Linked DNA regions of Caenorhabditis elegans. The protein of the gene in region 1 interacts with the protein of each later gene in a biochemical or structural test. Each region holds a gene or a part of one and is shown in the gene's direction. Other genes may lie near its edges.

Region 1 (7,069 bases):
TTACGAATACTGAAGTGCTTACTGTAGAAAACCTACCGTTCTGAAAAATTATAAATCAGCCAGATCCAAAATTCCAGATCCAAAAATCAATATCAACACTGTGATGCTGGTATGGGGCAGCTATGACAGTATCGTACCACTTTACGCGGAATTCTTCAACGGACGTAACCCACCGTACTCCCAATTTATTGACACTAAGATTTTGATGAAGAAACCCGAACGAACAATGGATTTGTATGTGACTTTGAGAAAAAGTAGCGAAAGTTCCACCGGATGGACTGCGTTTAATTTCACATAATTTTTATTTTTTTGAATAATTATTTTTCGGGGAACTTGGTTTTGAATAAATTTTTAACAAATTGAACGTGGCTGCAAAACCTTGTAAGATATGAATTCTCATTAGCTGAGAAATTAAAATCACAGGCTTTCGAGAAAAAATTGGCGGGAAATTCGAATTTCTATTTAAAAAGTTTACAATATGCTAAAAATCTAGACAAACTTTAACTTTTCATATAAATTTGGCGGGAAACTCGAATTTAAATTTTTTTTTTTCAAAATATTTAAACAATTTTTTTTTTCTATTTAGAAGTTCAAATATGAGTTATTTGAAATTTCTTTTTTCTAAAAATTTTGCACGAAATTCAAATTCATGGAGTTCGCTCTGGTTCAGTGGCTGGTCTTCTAATGAATTATGTTTGTTTTTTCGAACATCGAAAGGAAATAAGCGGGACTCATTTCATTGCTTCCTCCTTCATTGCTTCCTCCTTTTCTCCCTTTCGAATTGTACTACGAGACCCCCTTTGTGCATTATTATTTTACCCCCATTTTCCACCCCAAGACAGTCTCAAGTTATAGGAAATCTTCACATGATTTGCTCACAGTGCATGCACACAAAAAGTTATAAGATCTGAAGAGAGACGCAGACAGATTATTCAAACAGCAAGGGCTCCCACCACCGGAGAGGATCTGCGGATTCCGCCGTAATTTTACACTATCCGTCGGGGGCCGGACACTACTACACTGCCCTTTCCGCTGAACAGACGTTTCTATTCGTTTTTCATCGATTTTTGCATAAAGTTCGGGTTTAGTGGGTTTAGTAAACCTAAGAATTTCTAGGTTTTTTATGAATTTTAGGTCCTTTTTTTGAATTTATATAATTTATTTTAATGTAAATACTATGAAATTTTTATTTTGATTTTTTCCGAAAAAAAAATATCAAAAATTCCAGAAATATTTCAGCCGACCCATAGCCGCCGGGTATAGCACTAGAGCCTCACGGCAGTACATATTTATTTAGAAACTCTAGTATTCCACGTGAAAAAATATATTTAAATATACCAGAAATTTTGAAGGAGTTGACGACTACAGTACTCCTTAAAGGCACACGTTTTTCTGATTTCAAGAAAATTTATCGGTTCGTGCCGTAGTTTTTGAGAAATCCGAGTGCCGTAGTTTTTGAGAAAAAATTTTCCTTGTGGTTGCCCATATAATTATTTTCATGACGAAAATCTGAAACGATGTTTTATGGGTCTGCTAAATATTTATCATACCCAACTTTGGTCTGCTAAATATTTAGCATACCCAACTTTGGTCTGCTAAATATTTAGCATACCCAACTTTGGTCTGCTAAATATTTAGCAGACCCATTTGGGATATTGAGTTTATCCTGAAATGATGATTTCCTTTGTTTAAATCCACTCAAATTCCGTTTTTTCTCTGAAATCCTCTAATCCCCTGAAAAAAACCTAAAAATATATTTTTTTTACTATATAAATTCGGATTTTTCCAGAAACCCCACATATTTTCGACTTTTCCCGAACTTTTCCCACTCGTTATCTCTATTTCTCTTCTATTCCCTAGGATATCTCTCCCGCCTGGGAGCTTTTCGAAAGCTCCAGAGCACCTGGGCGGAGCTCCCGCGGCAACTGGATTTTTTACCGTTATTCTTCATTCATTTTTCCAGGACATTAACAAATTTTCTTGCAGTGAAAATTTTTATTTCAAAAAAAAAGAAAAGAAAGTCAATTTTAGGATGTTATACATCTCCAAAATTCGTTAGTTTTAGCTTTAAAATCAAAGTTTTCATAAAAATTAAATTTGAAATCCCTCCAAAAAATAGTCTGCGCTTCACACTCTCTAACACGTGCCGGTGGAGCGCGCTTGCATTTTTCCTTTTTTGTTAATTTTTTTTTGCGGGAAACTTTTCGGGAAAATTACTCTAAAACTCAATAAAAACAGCTTTTAAGTGCATTTTTCTTGAAAATTAGTTTCAAAAATGATATTTTAATCAGTTTTACACCATTTTTGTCGATTTTTCCTCTTTTATCCGTCGAATTAATAGTATCTCCTGACAAAAATAATGATTTTATAGTTTTTTTTTTTTGGTTTTCAGCAATGGTTGCTCGAGTACAGACTGCGGAGGAGATCCGCGACGAGGGAAATGCTGCAGTTAAGGATCAGGATTATATAAAAGCTGATGAATTGTTGGTTTTTCTGAAATTTCAGTGGAAAACTGAAATTAAACTGATTTCCAGATACACTGAAGCTCTCCAACTCACCACTGACGAAGACAAGGCTCTTCGGCCGGTTTTGTACAGAAATCGAGCAATGGCTCGGCTGAAAAGAGACGATTTTGAAGGAGCACAATCGGATTGCACGAAAGGTTTACAAAAAACCTGGAAAATTTGCTGAAAAACCTAAATTTACAGCTCTGGAATTCGACGGGGCCGATGTAAAAGCTCTCTTCAGACGATCGCTGGCTCGTGAACAGCTTGGAAATGTTGGGCCAGCTTTTCAAGACGCAAAAGAGGCTCTGAGGCTCTCGCCAAATGATAAGTGCGTGGAAAAACTAGGCGAAAACCGATGAAAATTAAAAGAAAAATAATTTTTTCTGGCACTTTCCAGTTATATTTCAAAGTTTTTATGACCAAATTTCAGTGAAAAATGCAAAAGTTGCAAATTTTGGGTCTGCTAAATATTTAGCAGACCCAACCTCCCGAAACTGATTTTTAAAGCTAAAAATTATTAGAATTTTCAGACGTTTCTCTCCGAAATATAGCATGCCAATAGAAAAATTGACAAAAATCAAGGTTTTCTCATCGAAAATAGCAAAATAACTTTTAAAAATCTACAGAAACTCACAATTTTTGTTTAAAATGCCAACATTTATAAATTTTCTAAATATTTAGTTTTAAATTTGTAATTTTCTCACTTTTTTCTGTGAAAAAATATGCAAAATGAAACTGAAAAATCCACTAAAACATGTTTAAAAATTTATCTTGAAGAAAAACGTAGGAAATTTCAAATTTGCAGCTAAAAAATCAGCGAAAAAATTTTTTTTTCAAAATTTGAGGAGGTTGGGTATGCTAAATATTTAGCAGACCCAAGGAAAAATATTTAGCAGACCAAAGATAGGTATGCTAAATACTTAGCAGACCAAAGATAGGTATGCTAAATATTTAGCAGACCAAAGAAGGGTATGCTAAATATTTAGCAGACCCAAGGTGGGTATGCTAAATATTTAGCAGACCCAAGGAAAAATATTTAGCAGACCAAAGATAGGTATGCTAAATATTTAGCAGACCAAAGATGGATATGCTAAATATTTAGCAGACCAAAGATGGGTATGCTAAATAATTAGCAGACCAAAGATGGGTATGCTAAATAATTAGCAGACCCAAAGAAAAATATTTAGCAGACCAAAGTTGGGTATGCTAAATAATTAGCAGACCAAAGTTGGGTATGCTAAATATTTAGCAGACCAAAGTTGGGTATGCTAAATATTTAGCAGACCAAAGATGGGTATGCTAAATAATTAGCAGACCAAAGTTGGGTATGCTAAATATTTAGCAGACCCAAGGAAAAATATTTAGCAGACCAAAGATGGGTATGCTAAATATTTAGCAGACCCAAGGAAAAATATTTAGCAGACCAAAGATAGGTATGCTAAACATTTAGCAGACCCAAGGAAAAATATTTAGCAGACCAAAGATAGGTATGCTAAATATTTAGCAGACCAAAGATGGATATGCTAAATATTTAGCAGACCAAAGATGGGTATGCTAAATAATTAGCAGACCCAAAGAAAAATATTTAGCAGACCAAAGATAGGTATGCTAAATATTTAGCAGACCAAAGATGGATATGCTAAATATTTAGCAGACCAAAGATGGGTATGCTAAATAATTAGCAGACCAAAGTTGGGTATGCTAAATATTTAGCAGACCCAAAGAAAAATATTTAGCAGACCAAAGATAGGTATGCTAAATATTTAGCAGACCAAAGATGGGTATGCTAAATATTTAGCAGACCAAAGTTGGGTATGCTAAATATTTAGCAGACCCAAGATTTTCTCACAATTCCACTTTTAAGCACTTAAAAATTCAATAATTTCACTCAAATTTCTATTTTTCAGAGGAATTGTTGAAGTTCTTCAGCGTCTCGTAAAAGCCAACAATGATAAGATTAAGCAGACCACTTCACTGGCTAATAAGGTTGGTTTTGTGACCTGAAACCACGAATTTTAAATGAATTTTCATTGAAAAACCCCGAAATTTTCTCAGGTAACTGACATGGAAAAGCTAGCGTTCCGTGGTGAGGCGAAGGACACCGAACAGAAAATGACTGCGTTGAACAACTTGTTGGTTTTGTGCAGAGAATCTGAATCCGGAGCAACAGGAGTTTGGAATCAGGTATAGTTTTGGAAGCTGGACGAAAAATCTACATTTACTGGGAAAATTTAATGGAACTTAAAAAAAAATTTAAAAAATGGAAATAAATTGAAAAATATACCGTATATTTGAAAAAAAAATGCAAAAAAAAACTGAATTTTCTAGATTTTCAGAGCAATTTTCAGATTGTTTTTCGAAAAATTTTGCAGTTTTTATCTAAATTTTTCCGATATTCCTTAAATTTAATTGTCGAAAGTTCAATTTTAATTTTTTTAAAGAAATTTTTTTAAACTGAAAATTGTAATTTTTTGTAGATTTTTAAAATTTATTTTGCTACAACGAGAAAACCTTAATTTTTGCCAATTTTCCGATTTTGTAGAAACATTTGAAAATTCAACTTTTTAGCTTTTAAAAAATCAGTTTAAAAAAAATTATTTTTCAAAATTTTAATTTTATCAAAGTATCCCGAATTTGAATATTTTCCTGCAAAAATACCCAAAAAAAAAATTCTAATTTTTCCATATTTCCAGGGCGCACTTGTTCCATTCGTCCTGAACCTAATCAACGACGCATCGGAAAACGAGGAGGTTACCGTAACCGCAATCCGAATTCTCGACGAGACCATCAAAAATAGCGTCAGATGCATGAAATTCCTAGCTATGCACGACCCAGATGGCCCAAAATCCGTCCGTTTTGTGTGCCGGCTAATGTGCAAAAAATCCACAAAAGACTTTGTGGATGCCACTGGAATTCTGGTGCAACGTGTCTTCAATGCAATGGCTAAAATGGATCGGCAAAAGGAGATGAAGCCGGATCCAGAGGTGGCAGAAGCCAATAAAATCTGGATAATTCGTGTGCTCTTGGAGCTTCAAGAGATGCTTCAGGACCCGAAAGTTGGTGCAGTTCAGCGTGAGACGTGCATCGATTTATTCCTGAAAAATCTGATGCACATGGACGGTGGAATTCCACGTGGATGGTCGTGGAAGTTTGTGGAAGAACGTGGATTGCTCGCGTTGCTTGACGTGGCAAGTCAGATACCCGAACTGTGTGAATATCCGGTTTCTGCGGAGACTCGGCAACACGTGGCAATTTGTTTGCAGAGATTAGAGGAGGATATGGTTTTTGATACGAAACGGACTATTTTTAAGGAGAAAGTCGATATGTTCTTTAAGTACGGAACAAGGAAATCGGAAAAAAAACGTTTTTTGATTCGAAAAACTTAATAATTGTTAGATTTTTGAACTGGAAAAAGCAACAAAAAAAAATTAATTCGAAAAACGTTTAAATTTTTAAATTTTTGAATTTGAAAAAGCGAAAAAAAATTATAAAAAAATAATTTTTCCTCGAATCGAAATCTGAAAAATCGGATTTTTTAAATTTAAAAAATTGAATTTTGTTTTGATTTTTACTATTCAAAAATAGATTTTTAAAAAATAAATATTTTAAAAATGGTTTTAAAAAAAGAAAAAAATTGTGGATTTTTTCTAAAATATCAACAAAAAACTTAAAAAAAAAAACTAGAAAAAAATACTAAAATTTTCGATTTTTGAAAAAAACTATTTAAAAAACTTTAAATCGACAAACATTCAAAAGAAGAAAATTTACAACATTTTTATTTTCCCCGAAATTAGAAAGTAAAGAAAAATATAAGTTTTTTTAAAAAATTCTTGGAAGCTCGAGAAAAAATCGAAAAAAATTTAATAACTGAAAAGGAAAAATGGGAAATCGGAAAAAATGATTGATTCGGAAAACATAATTTTTTAGATTATTGAACTCGAAAAATCGAAAAAAAATTGTTTTTATTCGAAAAACTTGAAATTTTTAAGATTTTGAACTCAAAAAAGCAAAAACAAAGATTTTGACAATTTTTTCTCAAATCGAAATCCGAAAAATCGCAATTTTTTCGATGTTTTGACTGATTCAAAAACAAAATATCAGAAAAAATTATTTTTTTAAATAAATATTTTGAAAATTGTAAAAAAAAAGAAAAAAATGCTCAAAAAATTGAGTAAAGTATAAAATTGGGGATATTTTTCTAAAATATCAACAAAAAAAACTATAAAAAAATAATAAAATTTTCGATTTTTGAGAAAAAATCTTTAAAAAAATTTTAATCGACAAACTTTTTTATTTTCCCCGAAATTAGAAAATAAAGACAAATTTAATATATTTACAAATTTTGGAAGCTCGAGAAAAAATCGAAAAAAAAACTACTTTAAAAATTATATTTTCCGACAAAAAATACCAAAAGTTCAAAAATCTCATATATTTTAAATAAATTTTTTTGAAAACTTTTAGATTTTTTTCAAAAATTCAAAATTTGGAAAATTCAGACGCGGCGATATGTCTGCTATTTAACAAACTAATTTTTCACTGTAAAATTCTGATTTTCAAATGAT
Region 2 (8,114 bases), on another chromosome or scaffold:
AAGATATGGGGGTGGTATTGTGTTGGGGGTAATCCATGATTTCATTGTTCAAATTATTTTTTTGATTATTGTGAACATAATAGCTTTTCTCAATAAGCCAGTAAGATGCCCTGGAAAAACTTCTAGATTTAACGTCTGGCTTCAAACCTGGAGCATCAATTCTTAGAAAATGACGTTTATGTAGTTCCTGTTGCTATTTAGACATCATGGCTACTACCAAACATAGGAAACGAGTAATCAGATTTATTAATATCTAGCCAAAGGATTATATGGGTATACACATTTAGACACATTTTTTCAGTGGAAGTCAAAAACCAAATGATTGGGGATTCAGAGAAAAATATTTAATCGAATGGGTTTCTGATATAAAACATAATTTATCTTATTGTTTGGAAAGTTATCAATTTCTCAGGAATTTTTTAATTTTACGAATTTCAAATTTATAGAACAGATGTTTTTGAAAAGATTTTTTGGAATGTTTTGATGAAAAACTATAATTTGATCTCTGAATACAAAAATCTGTAGCTATAAAAGAGGATCAGAATAAATGTTCAAATGAAAAATTCTCATAATTTTTATACCTCACAATTTGGTTCAAAATTCTATAAATTAAAAAAAATGAATTTCCAGAAGCTTCGGGTAAAGCACTACGAGAGTCGTTTGAAGCTTGGGACATCTTTCTTCGTGAAATTGATGATGAACTGGAAAAGACGCTTGGACCAGTCAAAAGTGCAGTTACCACTCTTCCAGAAGGTACTCCTTATTGTATTTCAAAATGTATTATTTTGATTTTTCTTTCAGATTCTGGAATTCTCGGACTTCAAAGCAAAACTATTTCTTATTATGTTACAGGAAGTGCTTTTGATTGTGTGCTCATTATTGTAGTTCGGTTTGTTTTTCTGATTTTCCAAATAAAAATGGTTAAACTTCAGAGCATTCAACAGGCCAGAAGTTAATGAGCATATTTTGGGATTATATAACAGAATTGATGAGTTAAGGAAACTAAGATGTGATGTATTCTTATTGACAAAGGGACCACCAATTGGATCAAGTGGTGGTGCATACATTAAGCTTATTGGAGTTCCTTTTCGTAAATTATATGATATGAATGAGGCTGAAGAACAATTAAAAATGAATAGAAAGTCTGCACTGGAATATAATGGATGGAGAACGCTTTGCAAGGTAAGAGTTATGACTTATTTTCATTATCTTCATAAAAGGGGACAAAAGGTATTTTATCTAACTTCCTTTTTGAACAAAAAATATGAATAAATTCATGAATTTGGCAAAAATATAATAAATAATGAAAGAAAAAAAAATATGGTCCAAAGTTTTCTTATCCAACTTTGAAACATTCACATCAAAATTTCAAGCTTCAAGATCAAGATTGGAAAAGAGTTTGTTGAAAGTAACAGTTTGTCGGAAATTCAAACAAATTTTTATTCTTTGGCGAACGTTGAGCAAAAAAGTTGATATCAAATTGCAACGTGGGAAGGATAAGCAATCATTGTGTATAAATTGGAAATTTTCAGGTTGTGGAAGCCTCTCTCGTCGAAGGAGATTCAATTGTTGCGAAAGAAGCATCAAGCTCAGAAGACTCAGTTTCTTACATTTCTCAAAAAGGTGGTACTGTACTTGTGGATAAATCAGGAGAAATTCTTTACAAGCACATTGAAGACGATAAATCAGATTCATGGCCAGATATTGATGAAATAGTAAAACTGGTTGAAGCAAGGGTATGCTTTTTTATTTTTAAAACTCTCTTAACAAACTTCTCCAGAACGCCAAATACTTGGAGAGCACTAATAATTCTACAATATCAATTCCGAAAGGTGGAAATCTGGCAAAAGTGAATTCGGAAATTTCTGTAACAAAGGAACTGGCGACGGACAAAAAGAAACCGTGTTGCGTAATTAGTTAAATATCTAGACTACATTTACATTAAAACCATACATGTTATCTTGGCTGATCTCATTATTAATTCATTATTTTAATATTAGATTATTTAACTATGAAATAACATAAACATTAATTTATTTTCAATTTGTTCCAATGTGGAACTTCCAAAAAAAAAACACTCGAATTTAATGTGGTTGTTATTTTACAGTGAAAAAAGATGTTCGGATGCTTTGATTTCTTTTGGTTGAAGATTTTCAGACTCGTTTATTAAACTTTTACTGTATTCTTGGAATAAAAAAGTTCAATTTATTTTCAATTTTCAATCAATTTAAAAATCTATCATCTGAAGAATAAAACACAACACTATTACATAGAAGTTTCAAGGCAAACCATATATGGCCATATGAATTTTTTTGATCGTTTCAATAGTTTTCTAAAAGTACAATAATCCACGGTAATCCTACAGTACCCTGGCCATATCCCGGAATATTTACGATTGCATCAGAGTAGCAACAAACGTGTGTATTGATTGATTTTTTATCGTATTGAAGGACATCTGCTGGTGGACCAGGTACCCGCCTATAAATGTCTAGAATTGGGTGAGTCTCACAATGACGTCCCTCGGGTCTCAATTGTACACAATCGATTGTTGAGTTGCGCTACTGTTTTCCTCTTGAAACTATAGTTAACTAAACGATTTTTATTGAAAGTGAGGTTTATTCTCGTTTAAAAAAAACAATATTTATTAAAGAATAAAATTTTGTAAAATCAAAAATGTGCGTTCCATCCACAGTCTCGTTCATTTATATACTTTTTTGTTGCTTAATTTATCTGCCCCTTCAAATTCTTATTGCTCTAAAAATATTCAAATTAAGTGGTGTCTGAAAATAGAATCATAAAGATACAATATTTAACACTCGTTCTTCCGAATTCAGTTTTCTACCGATGTTTCTCTCCTGCAAAAATGTGGTGTCTCGGTAGTGCAGCAAACGCGCTCCACTGCATGTTCATTGAGAGGCCGAAATGTCAGCGTCTTTGCAGCTGCATTGCTCCTTCGATTTTTCTATCTCTTGCGCGCGCGGTGCAAATGTCTTCCTACAGTTTTTGCTCTCGAAAATAATTTTATGTTTTCCTCTATACACAATTCTAGTCCAATATTGTTTTCATACAATCCTCTGCGTTTAATTTTTCCGTCTCATAAATGTTCCCATTACCGTAAAATATTTGTTATCAGACCTCTCACCATTCTCTTTATCGTTACTCTACTTATCAAAATCACGTGATCATCACGAATTTCCAGAAATCGTAGATGATTGAAGACGAGAAAGCAGGCTTGCAGCCGATGGACATAAGTGATGCTTCTGTGGTGCGTTTTTGCCTGACATTTTATATACTCATAGGCGATTAGTTCTTTTTTCAGGCAGATGTTGAAAGCAAAGACTTCCTCACAAGTCTCTTTGACTGTGAAGGTAAATCAGATGACAGAATGCTTCGTTACGCCGATGCGATAATCGATGTTCAAAATCTGAATTTTGATGTTTCTCCTCAGTGTCTGCAATCGAACATTGCCGAAATAATCACAAAGTTTGTACTTTTATCTCAAGATGGATCAAGAAGGGGGCTGTCAAGATCGTTCAATTTCATCGACCCTGATATCATTGCTGGATGTCGTGAAGAAGACGCCATCGAGTTTCTCTTAATCAATTTTGTTCGTTGCCATCATGAGCTTGGAAAGGTACTCTATCTAATATAGTTCTATTTTTAATTTAACAATTTTCAGAGCGGTACTTCAAATTGCTACAAGAAAACTCTCGAATCTACCAGGAAAGCAGTTTTCTCAGTTTTTGTGATGATACAGAGAGGCTACTTGGAGAGCCAACTTCGCAGCCAACATGCTAGTTTGGTGTTCACAAAAAGACTTCTGGAGGATACGGTGTCAAATGTTTTTCTAAGAACATTGGTTGAATACCTTGCAAGTACAGATGAATGCGATGAAGACGCTATTACAGAAACATTTAATCCAATTTTCGGGATTTTGCGGAGCGGAATTATTTGTCAACGCTTTGAAGACAATAAGGACGAAATTGTTCGTCAGATCCTTCGTGTGATGAACTTGCTTCTCAGTATCAGACTCCCTTCAAACGGACCTCGCCCACTGAGTAACCTACTTGTTAATCGAGAAGATTTTCTCCCAACGCCGTCCGAAAAAATACAAGGACGCGAGTTTGGTTTAATGTCCTTCCTAGGACCGTTCTTTTCGTACGGCCTCGAATCATCAGCAAGGCGTCCAAATCATCGAGTTTTTGTGGATTGTGAAGAAGATGCAAGAAAATATGATGGATCAGTCAACACTGAGCAGAAACTGTATTTCCAAAGAATGGATCCAATTCGAACTATGCTTCATCAATTGATGCTTCCGCTTGCTTCGGATCAAGGAAGTCGCAACAAAACTCTAAGATGGATTGCCACCATCATAAGCACCAATGACATTCGCACTCGTTCACATTATGATCCTTCAGATGTCTTGTGTGATCATTATATGACAAATTTTTTGTCCGTGATGTACATGTTTTCCGAGAAAATCGACTTGTCCAAAATTATCGTAGATTATCCGTTTTTACCGAGTTCGCTTATAAATATTTCCAAGGAGACTCGTCTCAAAATGGACGAATCAGGAGCAGTCGCTTTTGCTAGCCAATTCGGTAAGTTTCATTTTTCTTTCTCAAAAAATTAACTTGTTTTCTTTTTCCAGCAGATCGTCCAGATGAATATCATTTCTCTACAGTCTGCTTCTTCCTGACAATTGCAGCACAGAGGCTCGTTATTCCTCCATTGATGAATCAAATAAGTGAATACTCTCGACACCTTAAGGAGCTCAAGCATAAGATCAATGCGCTCAAAGAAAAACTAAATACTGTGTCAGGATTCGAGAGAGCTGAGGTGGAAAAGAAGTTGAACTATGAGACTGAACACTGGAAGCTCATGTCTCGTCATCTTTTATGTGTTAAGACACAAGCTCAAGATCCTGCATTAATGGCATCTTCTATGGATTTTGTCGATAAGCAGATGAAATTCATTTTGAATTTGCTTTGTGATAACTTGGATTTGCTCGGAGACGACAGTCAACTTCCAACTGAAGTATCACAAATGTTTTGTGCGCTCCCAGAATATTTTCTAGAGGATGCTCTCGATTTTTACATATTCGCTATTTCCAATGGAATGAAACTGCTCATGGAGAGAAATGCGGATTGGATTTCCCGTCTGACGGTCCTTTTCACACAATATCACTACATCAAAAGCCCATTTCTCGTTTCCAAACTGGTGAGAGTGCTGTCTTCTATTCAACCTCCATTATGGTTCAACGTGGTCAGACTTCGAATGGCACAAGAAAATTTATTGATGTGCATGATAAAGTTCTACTCGGATTTCGAAGACAATGGTGACTTTTATGAAAAGTTTAACGTTCGTGGAAATATCCAGTACATGTTGGAAAAAATGGAGGAAGATATGTTCTACAAAGGAAAGTTTATGGACATGGCAAGAGAATGCGGAGCAGAGTTCATTCGGTTTGTCAATATGGTGATTAACGATGCAACATGGTGTATAGATGAGAGCTTGTCTGGTTTGAAGAGTATCCATGATGTTGAGAAAAAGATGGCGAAGTAAGACTATTTCGAATGATAACTTAAAAATATAAATTTTATTTTCAGCAAAGTCGAATGGGACAACACAGATCAAGAAATCCGTAATCAGGATCTCGGCGTGTACGAGGAGGCAAAACGTAAAGTGAAGGGATGGCTTGGAACAGCCAAAAGTAATCTTAAATTGCTACTATCGATTACCGTAAACTCACCCGAACCTTTCCGTACTCCGGTTCTCGGCGAAAGACTTGCTGCAATGTTGAATCACAATTTATCGCAACTCATTGGTAGCAAGGCCTCCGAGTTGAAAGTCAAGGATCCAAGAAGTTATGGATGGGAACCACGGGAGTTTGTATCGTTGCTGATCTCAATCTATTTAAAGCTGAATATGCCTGCATTTGTTAAATACATAGCATACGACGAGGTTGGTTAACACATTTGTTTATTCAAAGAGATTTATTTTAATTATTTTTCAGCGTACCTACAGTCCTGAATTCTTCCATAATGCGATTGAATGCATGAGAAAGAATAGTATTGTTGGATTCAGTCAACTCGAAAGTTTCGAACATTTGGCCGAAGATGTTAAAAAAGAGTATGAGGCAAAAGCTGAGCTTGAAGAAGAGTATGATGATGTACCAGAAGAGTTCAAGGATCCTATTATGGATGCAATTATGGTTGATCCTGTCAAATTGCCATCAGGACACGTGATGGATCGTGCAGTCATCGAGAGGCATCTTCTCAGTACACCCAATAATCCGTTTAATCGTGCTCCCTTGTCGCACAATGAGCTTTCTCCCGATTCTGAGTTGAAGGCAAAGATTCAGGAATGGATTTGCCAGAAAAGAAATTCAAAGAAATAATTTTCTATCATATTCTATTGTTACCCAATTTTGTATTTATTGTACTTGACCATTGCACATGTGCAAAATGTCTGTAAATTTCACGCGTTCCTTTCATTTTATAAGTTTTTCTGGTCTCTCAATGGTCTAATCTTTCGGTTTCGGTTTCATTTTCTGCATGGATTCCTTAAAGTTGGTATTCTTGCCCTCTTTCATCAAACCTAAAAAACACGAGTAGTGCCTTGAATGTGAATAAATTTATACTAATTTACTTATTTTCTAAATTTTGGCTTCTATTGCGGTCTCCGATCCGCATACTTATATTTTTATTCTTTGTGAATTTCTTCACATATTCTGATTTTAGCCTTGAACCTGGAATGACTAAATTTCTGTAGGTTTATAACGAACGGTGTCGTATTGTTTTGTGATTTGTTACATGTCAATAACTTATAATATTTATACGTTCCCAGTCATCCCAAATCCGATTAATTTTTATTTTTGAAATATATTTACTGCTTTCAGTAGCTTGGTACATCTGGAACGTATTTGGTCGACGGCAATGTCTTTATTCGCGAGACAACTTCAATCCTTGACTGCCAGTGGAATCCGCACACAGCAAGTTCGTCTTGCGAGCACGGAAGTATCATTCCACACAAAGCCATGCAAACTTCATAAACTTGACAATGGACCAAACACCTCTGTCACCTTGAACAGAGAAGATGCTCTCAAGTACTACCGTGACATGCAGGTCATTCGTCGCATGGAGTCTGCTGCTGGAAACTTGTACAAGGAGAAGAAAATCCGCGGTTTCTGTCATCTCTACTCTGGTCAAGAAGCTTGTGCCGTCGGAATGAAGGCTGCAATGACAGAAGGAGATGCCGTCATCACTGCTTACCGTTGTCACGGATGGACCTGGCTTCTTGGAGCTACCGTAACCGAGGTTCTTGCTGAATTGACCGGTAGAGTTGCCGGAAATGTTCACGGAAAAGGAGGATCCATGCATATGTACACAAAGAATTTCTATGGAGGAAACGGAATTGTTGGAGCACAACAGCCACTTGGAGCTGGAGTTGCATTGGCCATGAAATACCGGTATGTTAACAAATTTTGATGTATTTTTTTACGAGAACAACTCATATTTTTTCATCTAAATATTTTATTTTATTTTCAGTGAACAAAAGAATGTATGTGTTACTTTGTATGGTGATGGTGCCGCTAATCAAGGACAACTTTTCGAGGCGACTAACATGGCTAAACTTTGGGATCTTCCTGTTCTGTTCGTTTGCGAAAACAATGGATTCGGAATGGGAACTACTGCTGAACGTTCATCTGCTTCTACCGAGTATTATACTAGAGGAGACTATGTTCCTGGAATCTGGGTTGATGGTATGGACATTCTCGCTGTTCGCGAGGCTACCAAGTGGGCTAAGGAATATTGTGACAGTGGTAAAGGACCACTTATGATGGAAATGGCCACCTATAGATACCATGGACACTCTATGTCTGACCCAGGAACCAGCTACCGTACCCGTGAAGAGATTCAAGAAGTTCGTAAAACAAGAGACCCAATTACTGGATTCAAGGACCGTATCATTACATCTTCATTGGCCACAGAGGAAGAACTTAAGGCTATTGACAAGGAAGTTCGCAAAGAGGTCGATGAAGCGTTGAAGATTGCTACATCAGACGGTGTTCTCCCACCAGAAGCTCTCTACGCCGATATTTATCACAACAC
Region 3 (7,138 bases), on another chromosome or scaffold:
TTTGAATGGCATATAGGGCATTTATTTGAAAAATTTCATTTTTCGCTTTATAAAAACATCGTAAAATGAAAAACAAAAATACTTGATATAATTACCGAATAAACCCTTCGATCGACTCAGTTAAATATCAGTGTTGTATGTGTGTGTGTGTGTGTGTTGTCATCATTTCGTTTTCCGATGCTTCCTCTTCTTCTTCTCCATTCCGTATTACACAAGACTTGGAGGGGAAGAAATGTCGGTGGCAAAAAGAAAGAAGAGTTACGGATATAAGAATTGAAGCAATCGTGCAGTGTGTTTTTGTGTTGTTTTTTAAGTTGTAGAAGTATCAAAATATAGAGGAATTTATGAAGTCACCGCTCAAATGTGAATATGTTAACGAATCTAAAAATGGTTCGGTAACCAGTACTAAAGAAAATATGGTTAAACTGCGACAGCCACTAGTGAAATTTTTCCACCTGCCACTTAGTCAAATCTGTTGAGCTTAAACTGGCTCGTCACTGAGGCTGGGTAATACAGGAAGTTTGGTTCATTGTACAGTTGGGTTTACATTTAAAAGAATATATCACAGAAAATCAAAGAACGTGTAATTTATCTTATCATCCCGGAAATTTCTTCCAACTGACCCTTGGCTTTTGTGTATCTCTTATTACAATCAAAAAACCTCGTCTCCTCCCGGTGGAACCCAGAAAATGCTGCTGGATGCTCCAAGCGCTCCCACATGCCTTCAAACTCCTAGGCGCCTGGAGATAGTGTTGCAATCAAGGAGAGCGCGAGACGAAGAATCAGTTGTTACTTTTGTCTGGGTCTCTAGGGGTTTCGTGATATTCCCGTGTTGTCTTACAGCATCCGCGAATTGTTTTCGTCAGGATGAAGTATGAGATTGTGGGATTTGGAGAGAAGCTGATTTGCTGGAGAAGCACAAAAATCTGAAGAAAATGTTTGAAGAAGATAAAGCAAACGGAAAGACTATCCAGTTACATACATACTATCATGAGAATGATTTATGAGCCTTTTCGTAAATTTTTAGACAGATACTATTATCAGGAGACCTTTTAAAGCAAACGCGACAACTTCATAGTAGTTACCAAGGCTCGAAAAATTGATTGGTGCAACTTGAAGTTCGAATGAGTAGAATTGATAAGTATTACAGGTGCCTCCAAATCGATTGTCCGCCACAATGATATACCTCGAATCCATCTGATCAAAATTATTACTGTAGCATTGAATCGCAGTACCGTAATCAAATATTAAATATTTTTGCCCCCCTCTCCTCTACGTATCAATAAAAATAGTCTTAAAACTTACTTCGACTCCAAAGTAGGTTAGTATCAATTTTGCAGACTTTATTTGTAATGCATTTCTAACAAGGAAATTTTTACATTTTACCCTCAAACTTCAAAATGAGACATGTTTCATCTGAAGTGTTTTAGATTATGTCACGAAAGGTATGTCACTGCAAAATTTTAAGCAGCAATACTTTTCTCTCAACCCCTAAAATATCGATCTGAAATTGTCTCATTTAACCACTACTTTAGAGACCTGCATAATTGCTCTAAATGCTTTTTTGCAAACTTTGAAAGTTTTTCAGGAAGTGTAGGTAAACACTCCGGGAGGTTTTTAAAGAATTGTGATTTTTTTGGAGAATTGGTCTAAAAATTTTTTTGATTTTTTTTTTGAAAGAATTGTTATAACAATTTTCTTGATTTTTTTGCAAAAAAAATTAAAGGAAAACTGCACTGAAACAATTTCAGATCAACAATTTTAGGGTTGATATTAGAGCTTTGCCGCTTAGAATACTGCAGTGAGTATTTTCGGTTTTCACTGGTCTCTGTAAAAAGAGTAATGCAAAGGCAAGTTAACTAGGTCGTAAATGTATTGATTTGCTTAAAATCTGAAGATCTAGTGGTGAACCGTGGAAGATTATCAAGAGGAGGCTGAAGATCTGTTTAAGAACCATTAATCAAACTGGTATTCTATTTTCACTGGTTGTATGTAAACATTCTATCTTATTCCTTTTATCACTGTTCTGCACTTTCCTATAAAAAAAGTTGACCGACCGTACTCTCTGAATTCATTTTTCCCGATCTTACCAACTCCCGATCTATCTCTATCCCTGGTTTTTTCTTCGTGCTCCAATGGAATTCTTGAGACTTCCACTATCTTCTCTGGCACCCTCCACTACGCGTAGGCGTCTCTCGCTTCGTGTATTCCCGGGAAGCCGGGTTCCCGTCTCTCCCGCCGCTGCCGCTGCCGCACACAGCTTTACACCTCGTAGAATCCCCAAAGAGGGGCGTGGCTTGCGGGTGCCAACATCCTCCTGCCGAGGAAGAAGCAGGCACTCATCACTCGCATCATCAACCTCGACTAAGGGAGCACCACATTAGTTTTGAGGTAGAGAAACCATTTGAAAGAAGCGAGAAATCATGGAGCACGAGAAGGACCCAGGATGGCAATATCTCCGCCGTACCAGAGAGCAGGTTTTGGAGGTGAGTATTTATTTTTTATTTATTTATTTTTCTTTCATTTGTCTTTATTGTTATGCTCATTTCTATAGAGTAAATCGTATAGTACTCCATAAGTATCTAATTTTAACAAAACTGAGCATTTATTTTTGAAATTCTAGATTTTTAACATACAACTGAGTTAAAGTCTGCCATTTTACACTTATAGATTTTTTAAATTCAGGTAGAAGATTTGAGCTTGCCTTGTAATCCTTGTAATCAATGTTTATTTCTGTTTTCTAATTTTTCATAGATTTAGCTTCAAGATCATCTTTCCCTTGAAATCATTGAAATCTTCCTTTCTTAAATTTTTGCATTGCACTTGGAATTTTGTGACACATTGTGCTGCAGTAGTACTGTATTTTGAGACGGCACATTTATTTTGACTACACCACAAGCTTAACCTTGATTTTACTTTTTGATTCCATTCCATTCATGGGTCTAAAGTGTGAAGCGGTTTAGACCATTTTTCAACACAAGTTGGTATTCTTTAGAAGTGATATATTTCTGAATTCTGATCTCTTTTGTACCATTATTGTAATTTCAGGATCAATCTAAGCCTTATGACTCCAAGAAGAACGTCTGGATCCCAGATCCAGAAGAGGGATACCTTGCCGGAGAAATCACCGCCACCAAGGGAGACCAGGTCACCATCGTCACCGCTCGCGGAAATGAGGTTCGTTTTTAAGCTAATGATTACGGTTTTCAATGTAGTGTGATTCAGGTCACCCTCAAGAAGGAGTTGGTTCAAGAAATGAATCCACCAAAGTTCGAGAAGACCGAAGACATGTCCAACTTGTCTTTCCTCAACGACGCCTCTGTCCTCCATAACTTGCGTTCCCGTTACGCTGCTATGCTCATCTACGTAAGTTTCATTGAAACTTAAAGTTAAGCATTGAGAATCATTCATATTCTTCTTCTAAATTCCCATAAAATCCCGAAACTCCTTCCCTCTATCTTCTTTTCTTCTCGTTTTCAAATGTTTCTCTCTATCCCATTCTCTCATCAATTGAGTGGGATGAGGCTATCTCTGCCTCTCTTCTGAATCTCTGAACCATCTTACATTACACTGTGGATGACGGGAGCCCCACAGGCTCCCTTGCATCAGATACTGCCATTGGGGATGGCAAAGAAGAGAGAAGGTATTGTGAGGATATATTTTTCTAAGAAAAAACGTTTGAAGAAAAGAAGATGAAGAAGATCTGCTTGATTCATTGCACAAGTTAGAAGTAACAGGGGTCTATATTTCGAAGAACTTAAAGGGAATGCAACTGAACATAAAATTAAACAAAGGGATTGAATCCTGCAGTATTTAAAAATCGAAACTAGAATGTTTCCTATTTCAGACCTACTCCGGACTTTTCTGCGTTGTCATCAACCCATACAAGCGTCTCCCAATCTACACCGACTCTTGCGCCCGTATGTTCATGGGAAAGAGAAAGACAGAAATGCCACCACATTTGTTCGCTGTCTCTGACGAAGCCTACCGTAACATGCTCCAAGACCACGAGAACCAGTCTATGCTCATTACCGGAGAATCTGGAGCCGGAAAGACTGAGAACACCAAGAAGGTTATTTGCTACTTCGCCGCTGTCGGTGCCTCCCAACAGGAAGGTGGAGCTGAAGTTGATCCAAATAAGAAGAAGGTCACCCTTGAGGACCAAATCGTCCAGACCAATCCAGTACTTGAAGCCTTCGGTAACGCCAAGACTGTCCGTAACAACAACTCATCCCGTTTCGGAAAGTTCATCCGTATCCACTTCAACAAGCACGGACGCCTCGCATCTTGCGATATCGAGCATTGTGAGTTACTTTTTGATTTATATTCTAGCATAGCTCAATAAAAATTATGCAACTATTGTTTTAAACTATAAATTTTGCAGACTTGCTCGAGAAATCTCGTGTCATCCGTCAAGCTCCAGGAGAGCGTTGCTACCACATCTTCTACCAAATCTACTCTGACTTCCGTCCAGAGCTCAAGAAGGAACTTCTTCTTGACTTGCCAATCAAGGATTACTGGTTCGTCGCCCAGGCCGAGTTGATCATTGACGGAATCGATGACGTCGAAGAGTTCCAACTTACTGATGAAGCTTTCGACATCCTCAACTTCTCTGCCGTCGAGAAGCAGGATTGCTACCGCCTCATGTCCGCTCACATGCACATGGGTAACATGAAGTTCAAGCAACGCCCACGTGAAGAGCAAGCTGAGCCAGATGGTACCGATGAGGCCGAGAAGGCATCCAACATGTACGGAATCGGATGCGAGGAGTTCCTCAAGGCTTTGACCAAGCCACGTGTCAAGGTCGGAACCGAATGGGTATCCAAGGGACAGAACTGCGAACAAGTCAATTGGGCTGTCGGAGCCATGGCCAAGGGTCTCTACTCCCGTGTGTTCAACTGGCTTGTCAAGAAGTGTAACCTCACTCTGGATCAAAAGGGTATTGATCGTGATTATTTCATCGGTGTGCTCGATATCGCCGGTTTCGAAATCTTCGACTTCAACTCCTTCGAGCAGTTGTGGATTAACTTCGTAAACGAGAAGCTCCAACAATTCTTCAACCATCACATGTTCGTCCTTGAACAGGAAGAATACGCCCGTGAGGGTATTCAATGGGTCTTCATCGATTTCGGACTTGATTTGCAAGCGTGTATCGAACTTATTGAGAAGGTAAGATTGAATTGAAATTTTAAATGTATTTTGATCAATTCTTATTTTTCAGCCACTCGGTATTATCTCCATGCTTGATGAAGAGTGTATCGTACCAAAGGCTACTGATTTGACCCTCGCTTCCAAGCTTGTCGATCAACATCTTGGCAAGCATCCAAACTTCGAGAAGCCAAAGCCACCAAAGGGAAAGCAAGGAGAAGCTCACTTCGCCATGCGGCACTACGCCGGAACTGTGCGTTACAACTGCTTGAACTGGCTCGAGAAGAACAAGGACCCCCTCAACGACACCGTTGTCTCGGCAATGAAACAATCCAAGGGAAACGATCTTCTCGTCGAGATCTGGCAAGACTACACCACCCAGGAAGAGGCCGCCGCTAAGGCCAAGGAGGGAGGTGGCGGTGGAAAGAAGAAGGGAAAGTCCGGATCTTTCATGACCGTCTCTATGCTCTACAGAGAGTCTCTCAACAACTTGATGACTATGCTCAACAAGACTCACCCACATTTCATCCGTTGTATCATCCCCAACGAGAAGAAGCAATCTGGTATGATCGATGCCGCTTTGGTTCTCAACCAGCTTACCTGCAACGGAGTGTTGGAAGGAATCAGAATTTGCAGAAAGGGATTCCCCAACAGAACCCTTCATCCAGACTTCGTCCAACGTTACGCCATCCTTGCCGCCAAGGAGGCCAAGTCCGATGACGACAAGAAGAAGTGCGCCGAGGCTATCATGTCCAAGCTCGTCAACGACGGATCCCTCAGCGAGGAGATGTTCCGTATCGGTCTCACCAAGGTCTTCTTCAAGGCTGGAGTTCTTGCTCATCTTGAAGACATCCGTGACGAGAAGCTCGCCACCATCCTCACCGGATTCCAATCCCAAATCAGATGGCATTTGGGTCTCAAGGACCGCAAGCGCCGTATGGAACAACGTGCCGGACTTCTCATTGTTCAGCGCAACGTCCGTTCCTGGTGCACTCTCCGTACCTGGGAATGGTTCAAGCTTTACGGAAAGGTCAAGCCAATGCTCAAGGCCGGAAAGGAAGCCGAGGAGCTCGAGAAGATCAACGACAAGGTTAAGGCCCTCGAAGACAGTCTCGCCAAGGAGGAGAAGCTTCGCAAGGAGCTCGAGGAGTCCTCTGCCAAGCTCGTCGAAGAGAAAACTTCTCTCTTCACCAACTTGGAATCCACCAAGACTCAACTCTCCGATGCTGAGGAAAGACTTGCCAAGCTTGAGGCTCAACAAAAGGATGCCTCCAAGCAACTCTCCGAGCTCAACGATCAACTCGCTGACAACGAAGACCGTACCGCTGATGTTCAGCGCGCTAAGAAGAAGATCGAGGCCGAGGTCGAGGCTTTGAAGAAGCAGATCCAAGACTTGGAAATGTCTCTCCGCAAGGCTGAGTCTGAGAAGCAATCCAAGGATCACCAGATCAGATCCCTTCAAGATGAGATGCAACAGCAAGATGAAGCTATTGCCAAGCTCAACAAGGAGAAGAAGCATCAAGAAGAAATCAACCGCAAGCTGATGGAGGACCTCCAATCCGAAGAGGATAAGGGTAACCATCAGAACAAGGTCAAGGCCAAGCTTGAGCAGACTCTTGATGACCTCGAGGATTCCCTTGAGCGCGAGAAGAGAGCCCGCGCCGATCTTGACAAGCAGAAGAGAAAGGTCGAGGGAGAGCTCAAGATTGCTCAAGAGAACATCGATGAGAGCGGACGCCAACGCCACGATCTTGAGAACAACTTGAAGAAGAAGGAATCTGAGTTGCACTCAGTTTCTTCCCGACTTGAGGACGAACAAGCTCTTGTCTCCAAGCTCCAACGCCAGATCAAGGACGGACAAAGCCGTATCTCCGAGCTCGAAGAGGAACTCGAGAATGAACGTCAATCCCGTTCCAAGGCTGACCGTGCCAAGAGCGACCTCCAACGCGAGTTGGAAGAGCTCGGTGAGAAGCTTGACGAGCAAGGTGGA

Evidence for each region.
Region 2: of the proteins of unc-45 (region 1) and ufd-2, one has a biochemical effect on the other in vitro, tested with the Caenorhabditis elegans proteins (one study listed by BioGRID).
Region 3: the proteins of unc-45 (region 1) and unc-54 form a complex in vitro, tested with the Caenorhabditis elegans proteins (one study listed by BioGRID).

Annotation. Positions count from the first base shown.
Region 1 is NC_003281.10:489,155-496,223, forward strand, and holds the start of unc-45 (UNC-45/Cro1/She4 central domain-containing protein), read left to right. Parts: upstream 1-2,392; 5' UTR 2,393-2,394; coding exon 2,395-2,483; intron 2,484-2,534; coding exon 2,535-2,662; intron 2,663-2,708; coding exon 2,709-2,835; intron 2,836-3,252; exon of another isoform or gene 3,253-3,681; intron 3,682-4,414; coding exon 4,415-4,493; intron 4,494-4,562; coding exon 4,563-4,691; intron 4,692-5,200; coding exon 5,201-5,841; intron 5,842-7,069. Other genes in the region: F30H5.5 (Salivary lipocalin), read left to right, coding at 78-298.
Region 2 is NC_003280.10:8,059,544-8,067,657, forward strand, and holds ufd-2 (Ubiquitin conjugation factor E4 ufd-2), read left to right. Parts: upstream 1-3,197; 5' UTR 3,198-3,208; coding exon 3,209-3,265; intron 3,266-3,307; coding exon 3,308-3,634; intron 3,635-3,679; coding exon 3,680-4,601; intron 4,602-4,651; coding exon 4,652-5,561; intron 5,562-5,609; coding exon 5,610-5,964; intron 5,965-6,016; coding exon 6,017-6,400; 3' UTR 6,401-6,650; downstream 6,651-8,114. Other genes in the region: T05H10.8 (peroxiredoxin-like family protein), read left to right, coding at 631-753, 802-889, 933-1,182, 1,533-1,736, 1,781-1,921; pdha-1 (Pyruvate dehydrogenase E1 component subunit alpha), read left to right, coding at 6,757-6,770, 6,902-7,471, 7,551-8,114. UniProt on the Caenorhabditis elegans protein: Acts as an E4 ubiquitin ligase mediating the assembly of polyubiquitin chains on substrates ubiquitinated by another E3 ubiquitin ligase. The elongation of preexisting ubiquitin chains preferentially targets ubiquitin 'Lys-29' and 'Lys-48' residues.
Region 3 is NC_003279.8:14,858,736-14,865,873, reverse strand, and holds the start of unc-54 (Myosin-4), read left to right. Parts: upstream 1-2,391; 5' UTR 2,392-2,423; coding exon 2,424-2,486; intron 2,487-3,048; coding exon 3,049-3,177; intron 3,178-3,225; coding exon 3,226-3,366; intron 3,367-3,847; coding exon 3,848-4,304; intron 4,305-4,384; coding exon 4,385-5,169; intron 5,170-5,221; coding exon 5,222-7,138. UniProt on the Caenorhabditis elegans protein: Required for muscle contraction.